Linked DNA regions of Neodiprion lecontei. The protein of the gene in region 1 interacts with the protein of each later gene in a pairwise test. Links are inferred from orthologs where the notes say so. Each region holds a gene or a part of one and is shown in the gene's direction. Other genes may lie near its edges.

Region 1 (6,348 bases):
CGAGTATACGAAGTTGAGACAATGCTAAAATAAACTTGTTATGATAATGAGACTTACATTGATAGCAGGATTTGATTCTGTGACGGTCGCCCCATTTTGAATAGTGATCTTGAAAATTAAGAAATGACAACAATGAAGTCAGTCAAAATTTTGTTTTTTGTAGTATTATTAGTATTGTTGAATTTTTTCTATTGCAACTTACACTTCCTCGAAGATTGGGCAATTTCGCAACATCTATTCTTCCAATATCCCACACAAGTACTTTACTGACTGGATCAAAAGAGTACTTTCCTTGATTGGGTACCAAACTACAATTTAATACTGATTTTGGCATGGGAATTTCGATATTAACATTTTCTACCTAAAAAAGAGAATTAAGCAATATCAATCACAACCCTTGTCCTTATCTTGATCCGTAAATATCAGATATAATGTATGAAATTAACACAGCATAAAAATAGTTTTACGAACTGCAAGTCACTTACAGTTTTTTTCAAACATATTCAAAGCTTAAAAGATTGCATAAAATTGCTTACAGTTCGTCCAACAGTTTGTTTAGGCCCAACTGTAATATCCAATCTGCCGCCACCAGATTCCTTTAGGCTTATATTATGCCTTACGTATATAGGAATTGCCACAATACTTTGCGACCCGATATGGTAGGACAGAAGTCGGAAGTTACCATCTGGTGGAATGAAGGACAATATTCTCTCGGACTAAAATAGTATAAGTTATTCTGCCTGTGAGTCAATATTGTTTACATTTATGTTATAAATGTAGACACAAACCTCCCATCGCTTGAACCTAACACATGGATGGAAGCTGACATCATCAAATAATCTTGGATTCATGAATGAAAGTGTGAGATCAGGCATGCCACTCAATTTAATACAGCAATCAATCTGAAAATTAATATTGCCTTGTTATCATATGATTCATTAAGAGCTTCCATTTCTGGTTTATGAGAATTTCTTTTACAAAATATAACTTTACGATTCATACATAGCCTTGGATTTCTGCAAAAACTGTTGCCCCAGTTTTGTCAATTATAGCATCAACTTCCTCAACAACATCGAAGTAAGCTTCATTATTTGTGTATTTAACACCCGTTCTTCGCCAGGGTACATTTGACAATTGGCCACTTGGCAAGATTGCACTCACACTGAAAATTGTACAATATGGTAAGCGACTGTCAGTATTACTGTACTCATAGCAGTAGTAGTAATGTTATTTTACTTACTTAGACTTCCCTGTTACGGTATTAGCTATCGTTCTTAAAATATTGGGTGGTTTAATCAGTTCTTTGAGGATATTTGATTCTGTCGCCAATGGAAAACCATTGTCTAACATTTCGTCCAACAATTCATAAACAACAACATAATTCTCTTTTATTATTGTTTCTGTACATTCACTGAAGTAGTCTTCAAACGTGTCTACTACTCTGTGTAAAAACTCGATAACAAACAGTGGCGGAACTGAAACAGTCGATAAGTATGTAATATTTACCAGCAGCGTGAGAATTATAACTGTAATTAACCAATGTAACAAAAATGATGAGATCACATTAAAATTAGCAAAGATATAATACTATGAAGCATTTAGCAACAGCGTACCTTCCGTCATACACACAGCGACAAAAAACATATTGCAGCGATATATGCTGATCAAATAATGATGCGGTGTTGCAATAACTGGTGGCGTGTCTTCAGGTGAAGAAACTCTACGTTGTTGGTCAAAAAAATAATCACACAGGGATCGCGCGACCGCACTTTTCCAATGTTTTTCCATAAATACATCTCTGAAAGGTGACAAATTTTTAGGCTATGTCACGGTTATTTCTCAGGTTTATGAACTAACTTGTTATATAGAAACAAACTTACCCTGATGAATTTATTATAAATAAACTGTGAATCATTTTCTCCTTGATGGCTGAGAAGAATAACTCAACTCGGAGTTATTCTGAGGAAACTTTAATATGTTGACAGGTAAGTGACACTTGGATGGTTTGAGACACGGTGAGTTTATCTCGTATTCTTAAGCCTCGTTCACACCCCCATTTTGCAGTACAGATATCTGCAGCAAATGAATATCTGGCGTGTCTCGTAACGGTCAAGTCAATATGTAGATCCTGGTAACAAAATGCGCCGGTTCATTGACTGTTGTAAAGAATTCGATAGCTTTGATATATTGGTGAATTTTAGTGACTGATGCGAGAACGGTTCCTAACTTTTCGCACTTTTCCAGCCAAAATTGACAATATTTTCAGCAAGTATTTGAAAACTTGCTGATACTGATGAACTATCCATTTTATCGAATTGCAGTAAGGATACTAGATATGTACGAATACATTAATTGGTTTTATTATGACTTCGCAATAGTTACTGTAAAAATGCTCATGTCATCATTTCTGTGTTCTCCCAATTAATTGGAAAACACTTGAAAATTACTTCTACAGCAAAAGCTTGTTATCTCGTTTGTATACGTAAACGGCAGGACAGCAAAATTGTGCGTGAGTTCATCATGTAAAAATCTTGATTTGTCAAAAAGTGATGCAAAGCTCGGGCGGCGGGTGAAAAAATCTCGGACCCAAAAACTTGTTGCCTCTGAAATGACAGCTATAAAAATTATGGTTGCTCACTGGATTTTGTTCAAAAAACACTAAAATTAATGATTTCAGAAGCTGTTTCGATATATTATAAAGTAAAAATAATCGATTATGCATAGTCTAAAGTTGCTAGGAGCTGTGGATCAAAAGTCACAGGCGAAAAACGGAGAAATTCTCCCAAATTTTGGCGCACATTTGCAGTTGTTGATCCAAAAGAGTTCTGGTTATCATTTTTGGACTGAAAAAGTTTACCGTTCCCAGAAATCGCAAGCAACACTAAGGCCTTACAGTTTGTTCGAAAAATTACGGGCGATTTTAAAAATCGCTAGAATCAATTATTTGCAGTGGTATTTCGCGGAAGAATATTGCAGTGTTCTGCTATGCCGACTTGATTTTACGTCCAGATCCTACAAGACGAGTAGGCAGAGAGGAGTAGGTAAGTGCAGGTTAGTAGAATTATCCCTAAATCCCCCCAGACTCGGCCAACCATTACGAAACAAAACCCAAGGCTAGCAGTCTTTGCGATTTTTCCTAGCTCCATGGGTTTTTCGAATTTTGTAGCCTAGCAGTGTACAGAAGGAGGGCACTCTCTAATGGACTGCAAATAAGGGTACATAAAATAACCGACGTGGCCCTGATCGATATTAATTAATTACATAATTACACTTATTACATTTTAAACCATAGTCAGTTGGGCAACTTACGTTTCACAGCGCTAGCACCGCGAGCACTATTTGTAGCCAAAATCGGCACACGTCTTATAACACCAAGATTCCCTCCTACACGCTCCATATTCTTAGCTGTTCTGGACGTCGCTTACATAGACGTGTAGGTGCGCCATCTACGATCACCGGATCCAAGCTCATGCTCCACGGCTGAAATCTACGTAACGGGAGCAATGCCTATCCCGGTATGGTCATAGATCGAGCAGTCGAATCGTGCGGCAATTCAGAATTTATATGCTCAATCATTCGCTTGACAAACAGCGTAAAATAACGTCGAAATCATGTCGCAAATATCTGCAACCGAGGGCCCGATGTTACAGCAGATTGACCTGACGAAGTTGAATCTCCAGCAGCTTACACAATTGAAGCAACAATTGGATCAGGAACTTGGTGTTTTCCAGGACTCGCTGCAGACCCTAAAAATCGCTCAAAACAAGTTCCAAGAGTCCGGAACTAGTCTTGAGAAGCTTACCCCGTCCGCTAAGGGTAAGCCTTCCTTAAACCACTTCATTTTCTCCAATCCCTAGCTAACCGATTATAATTTGGAGGTTATGAGCCATGCATCATTCACGCGTCTTTAAGATTGCCATTACCTTTAAATCCTATTCCTGATGTCAGTCAATCAGGCAAGACCCTTTTGAGATTTTTAACTTTCTCAAATTTTCTTTTCCTCAACAAGAAGTTGATCTGAATTCCAATCCCATTACCACTGTGTTCAGATTTTTTTTCTTCACTGAGCTAGGTTTCCCTGTGCCTATTTATCTGCAGGGTATTCTTTCTGCAATATTTGCAATGCCAGTAACAATTTCAATCCACGAACTTACTTTATTTACTTAATGGATCATGATAATTATAAGCTCCTTATCATTGTCTCACATTTGATCTAGGATTTTTTAATATTGATTGACTGGTATGCAATCTACTTTTTTAACAATATATAGTTTATTGTATGATCTCTAATCTCGCAGGTTCAAGTCTTGAAAATATTGATCAGTATCAATTTTGTTTTGCAGGAAAAGAGATACTCGTGCCACTGACAGGTTCGATGTACGTTACGGGGAAATTAGCTGATACAGAGACGGTGATAGTTGATATTGGGACTGGGTATTACGCGCAGAAGGATATCCAAGGTGCGAAAGATTATTTCAAAAGAAGAGTGAATTATGTAACGGAGCAGATGGAGAAAATTCAACAAATTGGACTTGAAAAGAGTAAAATAAGGGAAGCTATTATGGATGTAATGGAGATGAAAATACAAGGACAGATGTCAACGCAAAAGGAACTTGCAGAGACTGCATAGAGATATCTATGTGACATAATTAAGTTACATTCATTTTAATTCATGCCCTAATTTTATGCCTTTTGTCTGTATTTTTAATTTAACTCTTCAAAATTGTTCTAGAATATATCTTCACTGTACATTCGGTGTTACGTTATCAACTTGTTTAACACTGCTTCAAGTCATTGAGCTATACATTTTCTTACACATAAAATGATACAAAGTTTTGTTTGTACACAGAGCACAAGTAAAATAATAATTGCTAATAACAAAATCGTTATGCCCCAATTTTTGTCTACAAAATATTTTTACTCCACAGTCAGCGAGGGAATAGCAAAGACCTTATTCGAATTTGATGCGCGATATTAAACGTTGATTTTATTCTGTACCAATAAAGTGATTTTTTTTGTGTGAATAATTATGCGGAATATTATCATGCAGGCATTACATATTCGTTATTCACCAAGAATAATTTTTTTTGAGAATATTATATTTTGATCTCATAGCGTATTTAATACAATTGTATATTGATGCATAATAAAGTATCCTCCGTAATTTTGATGTTTGAAACGAGTCGAGATTCATTGAATTTAAACATTTGATTGCGTTTAATTTGTTCAATCAAGATCTGGCAGCAACGTGTAGAAATTAGCCACTTTACTGGCCCATTTTAAAGTAATATAGGTAAACATAGTAGATGCAACTTCATGATTATAGAAAGTATGATGTTTATTTTTATGTAGTGTCAAAAAGTAATCATGGCCATACTTGCAAATAGAAGATACCTCATGCCAAATTTTCCCTTGGCCTCTCGAGTATGAATGCGAAGCGAATTTTAACGGTATTGCACCTGTGTGATTTTCTATCCTTCATCCATTTAAAGCCTACGGGATCAAAGTCTGCAGCTCTCAAAGGGCATGGTTTGGACATCCGTGTTGTAGGCGGAAAACGAACCAGCATAGAAGACTTTCCATTCATAGTATGCATGCGTGTTTTCTTATTTAATCGTCAGCTCAATCAAAACCACATACTCTGGATACGTGAATAAGAAACTGTTGGAAAAATCTAATAAAATTAAGCAGTCAACACATGTAATATATATATAAGACATTATCGATTCCGATGCGTGTTGTTCGTCTAGGTTTCGATTCAACGACGATATCAGCGTCATTTATGCGGTGGCAGTTACATCCTTCCAAAGTTCATTTTATCAGCAGCACATTGTATGGTTTCGTAAGTGAGTTCGAAATTTGGCTAACGTCTTTAGTTTGTGGGACGAAAATAATAATGAAAATCTGTTTATCTAACGCCGTTGAGGTTTAATTTTATCCCCTTTTCACATTGCAGAAAATTGAGGCGCGGAAAATTTAAACTTATAAATCCACGAGTGTTTGTAGCCGTGGCTGGTTCCACTGGAGTTAAGAATCTTTACGGCAGTACAATACAGATAAAATTGATAAATTTAGTGATACCTCATCCGTTGTACAACCCAAGAACCATGCATCACGATATTGGCCTCTATCGAGTAAGATTTCGTTGACGGACTCTATTTCATTGCATTCACGAAGTGCATAAGTAGTACCTATAGAGCATAATTTGAACGTAAATACAGTGATAAAATGATTCACGAAAGAAAGTTTTTTTCTATTTTATTGTTCGTTTGCCACGTTTCCGAATCGTTGTTACACGAGTTTTCACCTTCTCGCTCTTTCAACCGTCTCACCTGCATTATTGTCCAT
Region 2 (8,389 bases), on another chromosome or scaffold:
TATCATAATACTATTCCAAGGTATAATCAAAAATGTCGAATGTGGACTGACTGCAGCAGCATGGAATCCGAAAAATGTACATGAACTTGTGATTGGAGATGCAGATGGTAGAATTTTAGTGCTTGATGTCAGGCAATCAAATAGTGAACCTGTTTTCCAAAACCCTCGAGCTTTTTCTAGAGGAGTTTACAGGCTTTTATTCAATTCAGCCAGGTTTGTGTGAACCAATTTCGCTTGATTCATTCCCAGTGGCTATGTACATGAGTATAATGTTTCTACAACACTGAAATTATTTTTATACTTGCCCTAATTATTCAATTTGCATAGAAATGACCAATTTGCTGGATGCTGCGATAGTACAGAGGTGAAGGTGTTCGATACAAGCCACAACATGGAAGTGATATACGAAAATAAGAACCATCGTGACTTTGTTCGTGGATTGGCATGGGACCAAAATTGTCTACTAACAGCTTCCTGGGATAACACTGTTCTGGAACATGCGATATCTTCTTGATGTTGATTTGCACATTAAATTACTCGATACAGAATCGACAACTATGCAAGTCATTCGTTATGTCGAGATGTTGCCTCGTTAATTGTCATCTGAATCAGTGCCCTAACAATTTGAAGTTACTGTTTATTTCATACATTTTTAATAAATGCTTACAACATTGTATATACTATTGTATCATTGGTTTCGTTTTAACAATTTTAATACATGGTTGTAATTTCATACATACAACATACCAGTATTCATGAACACAAATAATAACTTCCCAACATGCCATTCTTATGCAATCTCGAGTAAGCTTACATCATTCTGAACTGTGTTAATATTTTTAATCGTAAGGTAATTGAAACGATCATCCCTTTCCCGATTTGTCTCAAAAACGCGATTGAACATGCACTGTCCTTGTGTCAATTTCTGACACATGACACTAAGTTGTTTCATTGGCCTATTCCGTTAGATCCAACCACTACAGTCACTAAAAAGTGTGATCACTGAAATATAGAAATATATTTCATAGCGTTTTCTACTGGTTGCACTGGCTCGAACAGGGGGCATTCGTTCCGTGCATGCGTCGCCCGGCATCGGGGCAAACCTTCTGAGTGGAACACGCCGTAAAACGTATAAAGGCAGACTAGGGGGCTTATTACGGTTCTCGAATCGAGTGAAAATGACGAAAGTGACTGGCTCGCTCTATTACGGTGAATCTCACGAGGTGAAAAGACGTTATCCACATGAATAAACTCGACACGAAATTCGGTGTCGAGAATCGTTCTGCGCATGCTCGTGAGCGTAATTTGCTTGGATTTGCCTGAAAGTTCCATCGGTTTCATAAAAGAACGAAGATCACTCCATATTTGTTGGTTAAAGAGTAAAAGTTATTGATACGTGGGAACTTGTACAATGAATAATTTAGTGATCGTGATTATGCAAAATCGGGAAAATCGAATGCTCAGAATACGACGAACACTACGCGATGCCTCAGACCCATTCAATATAACTTATATATATTTATATTATTTATTACATATTTTATATATTACACTTCTGTCACGTTCATTTTCTTCAACAATTCTTTCTGACATTCACAACAACTTTTCTAGGTTATCTGACAAAATGGAGTCAACTTTCGTGAAAATGTGAGATCCCTATACCGGAAGTGCCTAGTTACTTCACATTTTCACTCGAGAGATCCGTAATAGAGTGACTAAACTCACGTGAGATGAAAATGTGAGAAGTGAGTAAACTCGCTCGAGAACCGTAATAAGCCTCCAAATCATAATTTCTCCTAAATCAGAAATAATGTGACGTTACTTGACTGACTGCGCGACTGTCAGTTTTTTCAAGCAAGTGATAAAGGAGCCAATTGAACAAACGCAACGGTAATTTTTTGTTTGTAAATATATGTCACAAATGTTAGGCACGAGCATACAGGGGCAAAAAAAATTGACAATTCCACTGAAAAGATAAAAATTAATAAGTAGCAAGTCGAGCTGTCCCAATCTCCTGAAATATACCTAGCAGTTAACCTCTAAAAGCTGAAAAAATGTGTATCCATACTTCGATATCGGACATGCTGTGGATTACTCCTAGGACATTTAAAATTTTGGGAATCTCTCCTCTATCTTTCGGCTCCAGCAAGTCATCATCACTGCTAGACGAAGATGAAATTAGATCTAATAAAAGAATTGCTGTCACAGCACCTACTTAGACTCTTTCACGATCGGCAGCCATAATTGCACTGCTTTGACACCGACTCCCGATTCAGGGCAATATTTTACGCACTCAGTGCCAAGTTCACGTACCCGAGCTGCCAGTGGAACACGCTGGAAATTAGTGGAAATACGAGTCTACCGCTAGTGCGCTCTCAGTTCACACTCAGTGCATCCAATGGAAAACGCTATCAGTGGTTTTGATTCGTGTCGGAAAATGACGTAAGAAAAGCTCCTTGGATCTAGTGTCAAACTTCTGGAATTGTCGGGGAGTGCTACTGCAACGTCATAGGCCGATGAACTAGGAAAATTACATTCGGTTGTACAGCCTGCGAATATTACTGTGACTCATACCTTATTGTCTTTCTTGCTTCACTATATTGTTAACAAGCTCTGTTTCAGTTCCACTCACAGTTTCACTAGATTTTTGATATACCAATCGACTTTTCCACCTACATTAAGTTGCTTCGGTTTCCGGAATTGCGTGATGTTTCGACCTAACCTAACATTTATAGAATCCTGCTAAGTTGTGGAAATTAGGGTATTACAGAAATAAATAATTGACCATCGCGTTATCGCAATTCTTGATTTAATTTCACAAGGTAATATCTACATTACTCAATTAAAATGGTTGATGAGATTCAAAAGAAACTTCAAGCTGAACTTGATAAATTTAAAATTGTTCAAAAAGGTAAGATCAACTCTTTCCATTAAAACACTGGATTGATTTTCTCTCGACTCATTAATTCGTTAGAAATATTTCTCGATATCAGATTACCACAAGGCTCTTCTACAACGGCAGCAACTCGATGGACAGTTAAATGAAAATACCGCTGTAAAACAAGAATTAGATCTTTTAAAATCAGGGAACGAGGTTTTTAAGTTAATTGGTCCGGTGCTAGTCAAGCAGGACTTGGAAGAGGCAAAGCAAAACGTTGTCAAAAGAATGGAGTACATTTCGGCCGAATTGTAAGTATCGCCTCAGATATTTCTAATAAAAATTTTAAACTTCAGTACAACATTAGGCAAAACAAGAGTATGAATACTTTGCAACGAAAGGCCATATACAAGATTCTTACTACCTTCGTTACGAATGCTAATTGAATAAATGAAGTCACCTTCATTCAGCGATGTTTGATTTCTTCCAAGTGTTGATTATCGGTCAAATACATTTGAAGTTTGCGAGTGTTTCAAGATTCACGTAAAGCTGAAACTAGCAGCCAAAGGTGCCAACGTTGACTAAAAGAAGGCATAGTGCCGAACAATCGTAAATCTGTCAATTTGATTGGAAAGCTGATACTTTCACAGAATTACAGATACATAAGTATAGTAATAAGACTTGCCAATCGAAGAGTGTTTAATATTGTTTTCAGAAAACGCACTGAAGATTTGATAGCAAACCTGGACAAAAAGCAGGATACTCACCGCGAGGCATTGGCTAAACTTCAACAATCCTTTCAACAGGCTCAATTGAAGGCAGCTATGAAGGCCTAAAAACGATCGGAAAATACATAATTGTTAATAATCTACTAAATAATTCACTACTGCTGTGTACGCTTTGAGATTATCTTGTCATCTGAAGTCCCTAATGTGAACGTTATAATTCTCATTCATATTTTTCATTAAATACATTAATTATCTAATACATAATTAGATCTAAATTTAATTTACTGACCTCGTTTAAAACCTCAATAAAGAATATACTTTTGAAAATTATAAAATCATAGATCCCTTGGAAAAATAATTAACAGTAGATCAAAAAGGTACCATTGCCTCTATTTAATAATCTAATCTTGAAGATGTTGAAAGGAATGTTTCAAAATTGAAATATTAAAAATATATGAAAACTATATATAAAAACTAAATAACTCAATTAAAAACTATAGAAGTAACTAGTTTTTGCTTCTATTTCTGTGCGAAAAAAGATCGTTTGTGGTTCTTCTTATTTCATGAAATTTAAATACTTCCATTAACAGAGTTCGACTTTCGTATTGATATTCGTAAATTGTGCTGTATAAAAGTCATTGTTCAGAATGCGAAACTGGCCAATCTCTTTTAATTCGTTGGAAAATTTCATTCAAAAATCCTACACGTTCAAAAAGCGTAGCCCACAATAAGGTCTACTTATTGTTGATCCGTTTGTATTTCTTCGTAGTGGTAGTTTATAAACGTTTAGTATTTAATACCCTCGATAAATAGAGCGAAATAATTTTCTCGCTGAATATTTGCAGTATGAAGGATTTATTGTCTACTGGTAAAACAACGGGCATTCTAATGATTGTTAAGATCGCATTCACATGTTTACAAGAGTCTTACATAAGTTCTCTGTCAACAACATATAGAATTGACACTTGTAAATAGATCATCCTGTTTACCAATTAAGTCACTGCAGATGTATCGTATAACGCAGTAAAAGAGTTGCGTAGTTTTTCGAATAAGAATCAAGTTGTACGGGAAGTTACGTTTGTTTACCAGCATTTATAATCGAAATATGTCGGCAGATAATTTGAATATTCTATTATGCGGAATCATATATTTCCCGATTAATCTATACTAGTAAACATCGCGGAATCATTTGAATTTTTACATATCTGAATTCTACCGTATAGGTAAGAATACTAAACAAATGCAAATATTTGTCATAAGACCTTGACGGCATTGGTATAATTACTGAAACATTTTTTTTCCCTTAGAATTGTTGATAAAAGTAAATTTTACCCAACGACTATCGGTGATTCATATTTTGGGATCAAATTTTTAGCAAAAAAAAGCAGTTATATAGGCTTCGTCAAATAAAAATATGCTATTAGTAAAATAAACAAACATGTAATATTATCCCGTAGTGTACTAATTTCTTTGCGAACCAAAATCTGACTAAGATGAGGAAACACGAGGATGCAATAAAGTGACCGCATTTTTATTCATAACTATCAAGTGCAAGGTCTTTAAAGTTTGGATATATCTCCGGTAGAAAAACTATGTTCGTAACATTTTTTACGATGGATTTGATAGGATCAGTTTCCGGCTAATCCGACGCCCACGACAACTCTTAACTTCATTCGTTTCCTCGTAATTTCTTTTCATTTTCTATTCCATTCGAAATTTGAATGGTCAAACAAGCTTTCAAGTCTTGCCCTATTGAATATACATCGTTATCGATAAATAATAAGCCGACGCAGTATTTATAAGCAGTCAAGTTTCGTTGTTATAATATATGCCGTGAGGTCTCGAATTTCTTATGATTTAAAATTTCAATGGGAGGACAGGCGAGTAATCGAATTGCTGGGTTTCGAAATGAATTACAGATCCGAGCACCGTTCTTTTTTGCTCATATATTTGTTTAATAGATAACATAACAAGCGGGTATCCGGCCCCAGTCGGTAGCGCGAACCTCCTCCTAAACATAGTAATTATTATCTTTATCGTGTATATAATATTTATAATATGGTAATAGTATAATGATTCGTATCTACAACGTTGATATAGAAAATATGTTTATACAAATAGGAAAGTATATATAATATATTATAATATAATATACATATTACAACGATTACGTACATAATTATATATAATATCTCAATATCATATTAAAATAGAATATTATTGTTGCCAATTGTATGACGCTGGTGCGCTGGCGCATATACATTGTATTATCAATTTTTATTATCTATATTCTTACATTTCGCGTGCGCGGCCGAGAGGTTTAATAGGATTTCACGTTAACGTTAGTTGGGCGTAATTAATTCTTTTGTTAGTATCAACGCGTCTTATTATTGTATACACATATCCTATATTCAATATTGACTCAAATTTGTGAATTATGTAAGGGTATTACACGCGTGTCTGACGCCAGGTTCGTGTATTTCATGGTCACGTAAGTTGGACGTGGGCACAACTGCTGACTTTCACTTTAGCATTTTATTTCAAGCCCTACGCGTCAATTGATATGCGCAGTTCAAAGATTCTTCAGGCGAATGGACCTCAGCCAAGACAGTTGAACTATGTTACGATATGGACGCAATAAAAATAACCCCGTCAATCCTGCTGGTCAAAGATCTATAAAATCGTGATATTAATTCCTCTTGATTAGTTCATAACCCTTCTCTAAGACAGATGCTAGAGGATGTGAAACGAATTAACGAAAAATTATTCATGTAAACTTCAACTGGCTTTCTGTGATTATTCCGGGAACGAACGTGGAGGTGTAGCTATAAAGCAATATGGCGACGAGAACCGAACTATCGGCAAAATATTTTATGTCAATTATGCGAATAGAAAACATATACAGACAACTTGATGCAATTTGCGAGGCTTTAATTTTTTCACATGCAGCCGATAACCTGTAAAAAATACGATAAAAGTGCTCATTAAAAATTAAATACGGGCCCCGAAATTAGGTTAACGTATTTTTTCGCCACCAGATGTCACAGCGTTACATTTCCATTCCCAATGATAAATCGTCGACCCCCCCCCCTCCCCGTATTGTACAATTTATACACCAAGTCCGATTACTCGTTTAGAACGCAAGTGCGAACAAGGGCGTCGATGACGGAATAAGGATCACAGTTACTACTGGGCCTCCTGTCCTCCAAGTACCCTTTCTTGTCCTCGGCGACGCCGCGAGGTATACGAATACTGACGTTCCTGTTCGCGACGCCGGCGCTGAAGTCGTGGATACTGCTGGTCTCGCACTTTCCGGTTAAACGGCGCTCGTTGTCCTTTCCTCCGCGTGGATCGTAGGCCTGGATGTGCCTGAGGTGCTTCTTGCTGAGGCGGTCGATGGCCCTCTCGATCTCGGCGATTCCGCCATCGGCGCGCATCGTCTTCGTCGAGAAATTGGTGTGGGCACCAGCGCCGTTCCACGCTCCATCGACGGGTTTCGGGTCGAGGGTCGCGATCACGCCGTACTCCTCGGCGATGCGGTGGAGGATGAACCGCGCCATCCAAAGGTCGTCTCCCCCCGATATACCGACGCAGGGACCGACCTGGAACTCCCACTGCGAGGGCATCACCTCGGCGTTTGTTCCGGCGATCTTCACCCCGGCGTAAAGACACGCTCTGTAATGAGCCTCGACGATTTCCCGCCCGATCACTCGGTCCGCACCGACACCGCAGTAGTACGGTCCCTGGGGTCCGGGGTAACCGTTCTTCGGCCAGCCCAACGGCCTGTTGTCGAAGTCGAGGAAGGTGTACTCCTGCTCGATACCGAACCACGGCTCCTGATCCTTCACGGCTTCCATCGATTGCATGGCGGCGAACCGCTTGTTACTTTCCGTCGGTGTCTTGTCCGGCTTGTAAGTCTCGCAGAGGACAAGCTTGTTGTCGCCTCTTCGGAAGGGGTCGCGATAGATCGCCACCGGGGTCAGGTAAATGTCACTGTTGGCACCGTCCGCTTGGTACGTTGAACTACCGTCGTACGTCCAAATTGGCAACTCTGCAAATGAACAAACGTATGGTATGAGCTTCGTTAACTAGGTTCATCTTTTCTGAATACTGGCATTGTCACTTTTCAATGCGTCATCTGGTGGAAAACAAATTAAAGTAATGCAATCAGACTGACAGCTGAGCGTTGATCGACGTGTTTTTCACGTGTGGATGTTAGAACAGATGTATTATTGATGTTGGTTAATTAATTTACATGACATGAGTGATTTGAAACTCCAAGAAGTACGATTTGCTTCCATTAAAATTAAAAACTTAGGTTATGTGGTGATAAAATGACGCCGATAATCAGGTTCTGACGTCATGAGGACATTATCCAATACTTGTCATCACGACAGTGGACAGTAAGGTATGTGGAGATTCTCAAAATAATCATTATATGTATAAGGTCACTAATTTGCATCGGTAATCCGTAATAAGCAATTCTTCAAATTGTCGGTTTTAATATATCATGCCGTAGTATACAATTTCATTACAGTGATTACTTCATGATTCGAGAAAGGTACGGTTATTGTTTTGTTTTTCTACTCCATATCACTAAAATTTGTAGCACGCTTTATTTTGCATAATTACGTAACGACTTGGCCTTGGTATAAATATATTCCCGAAACCTCTGGAGACTTTCTCTTATAAAAAGGATTCCAGCATCCAAATACGAGATGTAAGATATTGATAAGCGTATGAACGTAATTTATGCACATATTGCAAACAATTTTTATACATG

The links. The genes of interacting proteins can lie anywhere in the genome.
Region 2: the proteins of prefoldin subunit 5 (region 1) and prefoldin subunit 6 interact in a two-hybrid assay, tested with the Caenorhabditis elegans proteins (2 studies listed by BioGRID). The link is inferred for Neodiprion lecontei from reciprocal best matches to the Caenorhabditis elegans genes pfd-5 and pfd-6.

The regions. Positions count from the first base shown.
Region 1 is NC_060262.1:34,390,112-34,396,459, reverse strand, and holds prefoldin subunit 5, read left to right. Parts: upstream 1-3,486; 5' UTR 3,487-3,611; coding exon 3,612-3,816; intron 3,817-4,343; coding exon 4,344-4,630; 3' UTR 4,631-5,179; downstream 5,180-6,348. Other genes in the region: AP-3 complex subunit mu-1, read right to left, coding at 58-108, 203-361, 537-716, 789-902, 1,003-1,162, 1,241-1,475, 1,614-1,798, 1,881-1,915; trypsin-3-like, read left to right, coding at 6,229-6,348. UniProt on the Caenorhabditis elegans protein: Binds specifically to cytosolic chaperonin (c-CPN) and transfers target proteins to it. Binds to nascent polypeptide chain and promotes folding in an environment in which there are many competing pathways for nonnative proteins.
Region 2 is NC_060266.1:6,914,812-6,923,200, reverse strand, and holds prefoldin subunit 6, read left to right. Parts: upstream 1-2,554; 5' UTR 2,555-2,847; coding exon 2,848-2,911; intron 2,912-2,993; coding exon 2,994-3,189; intron 3,190-3,593; coding exon 3,594-3,714; 3' UTR 3,715-6,354; downstream 6,355-8,389. Other genes in the region: methylosome protein 50, read left to right, coding at 21-213, 328-514; glutamine synthetase 2 cytoplasmic, read right to left, coding at 6,732-7,657. UniProt on the Caenorhabditis elegans protein: Binds specifically to cytosolic chaperonin (c-CPN) and transfers target proteins to it. Binds to nascent polypeptide chain and promotes folding in an environment in which there are many competing pathways for nonnative proteins.